Linked DNA regions of Oryza sativa Japonica Group. The protein of the gene in region 2 interacts with the protein of the main gene of each other region in a pairwise test. Links are inferred from orthologs where the notes say so. Each region holds a gene or a part of one and is shown on either strand. Other genes may lie near its edges.

Evidence for each region.
Region 1: the proteins of SPO11-3 (region 2) and TOP6B interact in binary tests that used the Arabidopsis thaliana proteins (3 or more experiments, as listed by UniProt). The link is inferred for Oryza sativa Japonica Group from reciprocal best matches to the Arabidopsis thaliana genes RHL2 and TOP6B.

Annotation. Positions count from the first base shown.
Region 1 is NC_089043.1:10,209,163-10,212,262, reverse strand, and holds the end of TOP6B (DNA topoisomerase 6 subunit B), read right to left. Parts: intron 2,656-3,100; coding exon 2,564-2,655; intron 2,473-2,563; coding exon 2,334-2,472; intron 2,267-2,333; coding exon 2,172-2,266; intron 1,738-2,171; coding exon 1,563-1,737; intron 1,197-1,562; coding exon 1,050-1,196; 3' UTR 709-1,049; downstream 1-708. UniProt on the Arabidopsis thaliana protein: Component of the DNA topoisomerase VI involved in chromatin organization and progression of endoreduplication cycles. Relaxes both positive and negative superturns and exhibits a strong decatenase activity. The B subunit binds ATP.
Region 2 is NC_089037.1:9,846,178-9,850,595, forward strand, and holds SPO11-3 (topoisomerase 6 subunit A3), read left to right. Parts: upstream 1-1,519; 5' UTR 1,520-1,850; coding exon 1,851-3,179; 3' UTR 3,180-3,619; downstream 3,620-4,418. Other genes in the region: cysteine-rich receptor-like protein kinase 25, read left to right, coding at 260-409, 524-606; pentatricopeptide repeat-containing protein At5g02830, chloroplastic, read right to left, coding at 4,117-4,418. UniProt on the Arabidopsis thaliana protein: Component of the DNA topoisomerase VI involved in chromatin organization and progression of endoreduplication cycles. Relaxes both positive and negative superturns and exhibits a strong decatenase activity. Involved in cell-elongation processes.

The DNA.
Region 1 (3,100 bases), on a different chromosome or scaffold from region 2:
CTGCCGCTCGGCTCTCTGTGGTTGGAAAAGGAAGAGAGGGAGAGAGAGAGGAGAGGAGAGGGGAAAGTGAAAAGAGAAAAGTGGTATTGGTGGGACCCACTAAGCTTCTTGTATTGTGGTCTTGCGGAGTTTGCATTATAGAACATCTAGCTAGTATTGTTCTTGGTCTAGGTGGCATGTGAGGAATACCAAAACTTCGTGGAACATGTAGCTAGTATTGTTCTTGGTCTAGGTGGCATGTGAGAAACATAAAAACTTTCGTGACGCACTGTGAATGCCCTGACAGGATCGGGCGGAAGGCCAAGCCGGCATGATCGCGTGCGACACTGCGCGGCAAGGCCGGGCGCAGTGAAAGTCGGGGTCATGCCGCCACGGCCACGATGGAAGATAGGCGGGGCTGGCGCTGCGGTGGGGATTGGAGGTAATACGGAGAGAGGGAAGAGAAATGGCGGACTGATATATGAAGCTAGGCCGCTAGGGGTATTTCTAACCTCTCACCCTATTTCTCTCTTATTCAACGAAAAATATATATTTTAACAAGTACAATATCCGATAACAAATATGTGTCTTCCCTCAAGGTGATATATCGACTCCTCGCTTGGCTCGAACCACAGGTCTCGGCCGAAGGGGACATCGCCGTTCACAGCCACCCTCCAGTCCGTGACGTCCATAGTCTGTTTACAAGGCTGTTCTCGAATAACGCAGTATGCAAGCATATCTTGGATCTAAATCAATTTAACACATAATTATGTAGTATAACTTATAATCATACCAGCAAACACACTCTCTAATGTTTCCTATTCCTAAAATTGAATGGGTAGAAGTGAACTCCCATATGTTAAAGAAAAATTGAAAAATAAAAATCTCCATGAATGCAACAAACATATCATGGACCTAAACTACTCTAAAAATCTATAATGTGTAAGTTACAAACTTGCGGTCATGACTGCTGAATCGGCAAAAGGTTCATAAAACATCCGCAGTACAATGGGATTATGGGAAGTAAATATTAATCAACCTAGCAACAGATGGACATGCAAGTTGCACTCTCAAGGAATAAATCTGAACACAAAAACAGGGCTCTGGAAATCGATAAACTTGTAAGATCCTTCAAGGGAGTTTAAATATAATGCTTCACGAGGTTCCTCGCTTACTCCACTCTGCATGGCGTACTCCAATGCCATTTCATAATCAACCTGGTTGTTGTTTCATGTTAAAACCATCAAAAATCAGTGTAAAAAAAACTCAAAACGGTAGATAGTAGCAGGACATTTGGGACCTAGTTTCCATCAGGATTCATGGCCTAACCCCGTTAGCAATTTGAAACAGAATTAACCATTGAAATGTCATCAGGGTTCTAGGATTTTAACCATTGAGATGCCAAAATGCATTTCAGAAATAATAGTCATTTTGAACCAGATGTCTATTAGAGCAAATGCTGCTGCTAGTTCGTAAAAGAAAGGTGAAAGACTCTAGTCATGCTTTGCTATTGACCAGAACAAGACATGCGTTGCTACTGACACTAAATTAAAACAGAGCAAGCATTTGAGCATTTTTCTTACCTGTTCAACATGTTGTGTTAAGCAATCCCTAAAGGTCATCTCTGTCACCTCCTCAGAGTTTACTTTCTCAAGGAGTTCCTCATCTTCCTTATCATAACGTGGCCTCTTTGGGGGAGACTCATCTGCAATTTCTCCCAGAGTCTCCATAATTGCCCTCGCAACATCAGGAATGTATCTGCAAATGGAAAAGAGAGCACGTAAATATATCATATACGTACTTGCAAAGTGCTTCCTGTCATGTGATAAAGCACTCCGAATTAATATTTGTCCCTAACTAGATCTATGAATAAATCATGAGTGCTGCCACTGCAGAAACGCACATGCACGTGCCAAAAAAATCTAGCCTGACAAATGAATACTGCCAAGGTTGTGCGAAGCTATTATTTGTCCATACTATCCATTGTGAACCTGATATCAATGATGCCACCAAAACCTTACCCAACATTCAACAAGCATCACGGATATGTCCTTAAGCAAAATTACAGATTCAGATTTCAGAATAACATAAAAAAATTCAAAATAACAACAGTTTGAACCCATGCTAATAATAATAATAGACATTACCATATGCCAAATATTTCAGCATAGATATACGGGTGGAGAAATCACCTGTTTAGGTTCCTTTTCCTGTCCTGCCGTTCACGAGCCTGTAGTTTCTTTACTATCTTTGACTTCAGTTGAAGACAACACTGCTTAAGGGCTGACTGAAGGGGGAAAAGGATCATTATTACATGACCTCACAGAGAATAAATATGGTATGTGTGGATCTACCTGAACAGCAGATGCTATTTCGGTTATGTCATCCCCAATGTACTCTTTTCCAGTTCCTTTAAAAGGTATCTTTGTACTTACAATGCTAACAAAGACACCAATCTTGTCCTGCTGTTGATTTATTTTGTAGCTGCTCCAACTAGAAGACAAGGAAAGGCAAGAGTTATAAATGTGAGCCAACATCTAGAACTACAGTTGAAGTGAATCTGCGAATACAAAAGAAATCTTACTTGATTCTTTTTAAAGCAGTTCTTGTGATGACATCAGCACCTTGTTCAAAGAGAAGTGGGATTCGGTTCGCATATCTAAAAATGTTTAGACCCTGAATACAACAGATATGAGAATTCCAATCGTCGGTATGCTTGTCAGCAAGGAAAATGCAGGACATAGATGCGATCCCTCATAATTGGGACTTAGTGCATGATATTAGTAAAAAAAGTAACATGTTTACTCATGTGGACTAATATTCATTAACTGAATCAGTAAAATGGAACAACTCTGGGGATATTGGATATGCAGGTAACTTTAAAAATCTAATCTGAGCCAACAAAATCTCAGATAATAGCCAAGATTGACTATTCTTCTTATATTTTCAAGGCAATTGAATTTGGTAATCCCTTCCAAACCCCCCCCCCACACACCCCCACCCCAAAAAAAAAAAATTGCTCACTGCAACTTCATAATGCCATAATTTTTTTCATTCCAAAGTGAGTCATTATTTAATGAAAAACCAGACCCTTCTAGGAGTTTGATTCAATATAAAAATA
Region 2 (4,418 bases):
CATGTTAATACACATTCTCTATTTTTTTTAAATTTTTTCTTAACCATTTAAGTGACATGCAAAGAATGATTTCCCGTTCTTCTAACTCGTTGTTCGTCATTTGTTCCAAGTTTAGGTTTGTGTTCATAGATACATTTAAATTTGAATCTTCACAGTTTATACAAAATTAGGAGAAACAATGGGAAAAAAAAGAAAAAGAAGTTACAATAATACTCCTATACGACAAGAACCTGTCGATTTTGTTTATCAATGGCTGCAGGCAATTTGACCGCAGCAGACATCGTGAGTGCGACTGCCTTCGTCATAGTGATGATCTTCCTGGTCAATTTATTAGTTTGTTTGATGACAGACGCCTTGAATAATTACTGGATTCGTTCTGCCAAGGAAGAAGAAGCATCACCACCAGCTGGCAAGTTCTCTCTCCTGTTTACTATTATTTTTCCTGTTTAGTCTAGTAACAAATTAACTAATTGCTGGTTGATTGTTTTGATCGTAAAATATGTGTTGCAAATTGACAATGCAGGTCATGTACGAGGAAATGTTGCTGCTGTGAAGGCAGCGCAGATCGTGCCAACTCAGTACGCAGATCAGAGGATTGCTGTCTGAGTTCTATACGCCGGCTAGTGTAGAAGCTTGGCCACTGCATTGGCCATTAATTTCCTGGGTGTTATATATGTGTCATGTGAACCCACTCTACCTAAGTATTTACAGCTAGATATATAGCTTGATCTGGCTAAATTGGCTCAGTGGCCAATTAATTAAGTGTGTACTCTTTATTGTCTCGTCCGAACACAACTACTTGTATGTCCAGTTGAAAACAGTACGTGGCCATCGTGCCTTGCACCAAGGTATATATTGTTGGGTATTTGGTTTTCTCTCCACGCTTGTATATATTGGAGTTATATCACAAGCTAGTGTGTATCTCACCTTGCAAATTTGATGTTATCTGAAGCCACAGAATTTGAAATAACAACAATGCAACTATATGAGGCATTTCATAAGAAAAAGCTGCTCTTATTAAAATTTATTCATTCCCCATAGAATAATCCACAAATATTACATATATACAGCTGTGCTTTTGATATGTTTTCTGTGAGATATGTATTTGCCAATTATCCCCATATCTCTTTGAGCGTGTGCCATGACGCACATTCGCATGTGCGTGAGCGTGGCACTAATGTGTAGCTGTATGTATATCCGTGTCTTCCGTGTAATTGAGAAAAAAAATAAATCAACTTATTTTTAAAAGGGTCAACACACCATCCCCATATCCATGTTTTTGAAAATCTTTGGTGGACTTTCTTAATGTTTTTTCACAGCGATTTAAGTTTGTAAAATTGTGCCATGTCTTCCCTAAAAAAAAAATCCCTCAAAAAAAATTGTGCCATGTCAATGAAACGCTGACCGAGTCATCAGATATGGCTTATGTGCCTCATTGCTTGCCAAAGATTTATTATAAACTGTATGATAACAAAATAATTTGTGTATAAAAATTTTATATATGGGTTCTTAGCAACTTAAAAATCCATATAAAATAAAGTACGTTAAAAATATCTTAAAATTAACTTTAAAATAATGTTTGAAAATTCAAAATTTAGCTTCTAACACTTTTTAGGTGTACCGATGGGCTCAGAAGTTTCGGCTCACCTCACCACTTCACCAACCTATCTGGCCCGCTCACTACCGGCACAATCCTTCTCTTCCGGACTCTCCCCAACCACGCCGCAGCAACACGCGCCCAGACTCTAGTCGAGTTCAGCACTTCAGCCCCGCCGCCGTCTCCGCCGCTCAAAGCGCCCAAACCAAAATCCCCTAGATTTCCCCACGCCCCCGCCTCCAAATCTCTCGACATGTCGGAGAAGAAGCGCCGCGGCGGGGCAGGCGCGGGGGCCGCGTCGGGCTCCGCCTCCAAGAAGCCGCGGGTCTCCACGGCGGCGTCGTACGCCGAGTCGCTCCGCTCGAAGCTCCGCCCCGACGCCTCCATCCTCGCCACCCTCCGCTCCCTGGCCTCCGCCTGCTCCAAATCCAAGCCCGCGGGGTCGTCGTCGTCGTCGTCGTCCGCCTCGAAGGCGCTCGCAGCCGAGGACGACCCGGCCGCCAGCTACATCGTGGTGGCCGACCAGGACTCCGCCTCCGTCACCTCCCGCATCAACCGCCTCGTGCTCGCCGCGGCGCGCAGCATCCTGTCCGGCCGGGGCTTCTCCTTCGCGGTGCCCTCCCGCGCCGCCTCCAACCAGGTCTACCTCCCGGACCTCGACCGCATCGTGCTCGTCCGCCGCGAGTCCGCCAGGCCCTTCGCCAACGTCGCCACCGCGCGGAAGGCCACCATCACCGCGCGCGTCCTCTCCTTGGTCCACGCCGTCCTCCGCAGGGGGATCCACGTCACCAAGCGTGACCTCTTCTACACCGACGTCAAGCTCTTCGGCGACCAGGCGCAGTCCGACGCCGTCCTCGACGACGTCTCCTGTATGCTCGGCTGCACCCGCTCCTCCCTCCACGTCGTCGCGTCCGAGAAGGGCGTCGTCGTCGGGCGCCTCACCTTCGCCGACGACGGCGACCGGATCGACTGCACGCGCATGGGCGTCGGCGGGAAGGCCATCCCGCCCAACATCGACAGGGTCTCAGGCATCGAGAGCGACGCTCTCTTCATCTTGCTGGTGGAGAAGGACGCCGCGTTCATGCGTCTCGCCGAGGACCGGTTCTACAACCGCTTCCCGTGCATCATCTTGACGGCGAAGGGGCAGCCGGATGTCGCCACACGGCTGTTCTTGCGGCGGCTTAAGGTGGAGCTGAAGCTGCCGGTGCTGGCATTGGTGGACTCCGACCCATATGGGCTGAAGATCTTGTCAGTGTACATGTGTGGTTCCAAGAACATGTCATATGACAGTGCCAACCTGACAACACCGGATATCAAGTGGCTCGGAGTGCGGCCAAGCGATCTGGACAAGTATCGGGTGCCGGAGCAGTGCCGGCTTCCGATGACTGATCACGATATCAAGGTGGGGAAGGAGCTGCTTGAGGAGGACTTTGTGAAGCAGAATGAAGGATGGGTGAAGGAGCTGGAGACGATGTTGCGGACGAGGCAGAAGGCTGAGATACAGGCTCTCAGTTCATTTGGTTTCCAGTATCTCACTGAGGTCTATCTACCTCTCAAGCTGCAGCAACAGGACTGGATTTGAGGACCCTTTCTATGCTAGATGAATAGGTGAATTTTCATGCATTTATTTGACTACTGCGCTGTGCACTAGATTTATTTATTTAAAATAAGGTATTTTTGAGAATCAGTATTCCCATGGGCCATGGCTAGTCGAAGTCAAAAGGTAGCTCCAAAATGTTCAGTCAAAATGCATGGTTAACTAATTTCTATGTTAGATTAGGTTCTTTATGTTAGGTTCTTTAGGAAGTATTGCACACCCCTGACTGAGAGTTTGTAGGATCAAATTGATAAGGGTGACCAAGATTGCCTCGTAGTACCGTCAGATGTGGAAATCTTCTTCTAGCATTATGTATTTGAACAGCAGCTGCTGTGTGTATTCACTAATTTTTAAGAACATGGAAATGCTTACTTCAGCATGTATTCAGAGCAGGTATAGTGACAGGAAATTCAAATGTTACTGTGATATTACTCATGTATCCTGAGCATGTATTCAAAACAATGTATTCCAGCATTTATGTGCCAACTCCATGTTTGGATCAATGTAGAATTGGAGCTGTTCACATGTGTAACTGAGCACATCATGGCATGTTTTTAAGAGGCACAACAATACAGCCATGGGCATCTTGGACATTTGTTTTGCAATCAGGTTTCAAATCTTGAGCGAACAAACTTGTTACAAATCTATATTAGGCAATGGTGCTCAAAATCCACAGACAGTGGAGTATTTCACTGTACTCGGTCAGCATGTTTTTCAGTTTCCATGGAATTGCGGGGATTGCAAGTTTCCAGCAATAACCTAATAACTTTAATTCTGATGTTTTACCGTATCTGGATGGCCGTCCACAAATTCCTTCTTGTGAAACCGTGTTGGGTTGATGTCACTGAGTAGCACCAGCCAACCTGTACATCTGTATACACTACCTTATCTTAGGATGACTCTGCAAAAGGTTGAGGAACTGTCACTGCACAGTCCTCACAGCTTTCCTCTTCAACCAATGATTCAGAGAGTTGATCGGGATCTTTATCATCCCCTGCGGTCTCCTGGAAAAATGTTTAGAAGCTAGATCTAAATGACTCCTAGAACGAGCTGGAACTGTGGGTTTGGACGAAGCCGGGCGACTTCCAGGTCCAATTAAAACCTCAAGACCCAACTCATCCGTCAGAACAGCAACTATTGCATGCTCGACCTCGACAACACTAGTCTCGGCCTTGGCGCTTGATGCCTTCCCATGACCAGTGATGATTACTACATCATCCTGAA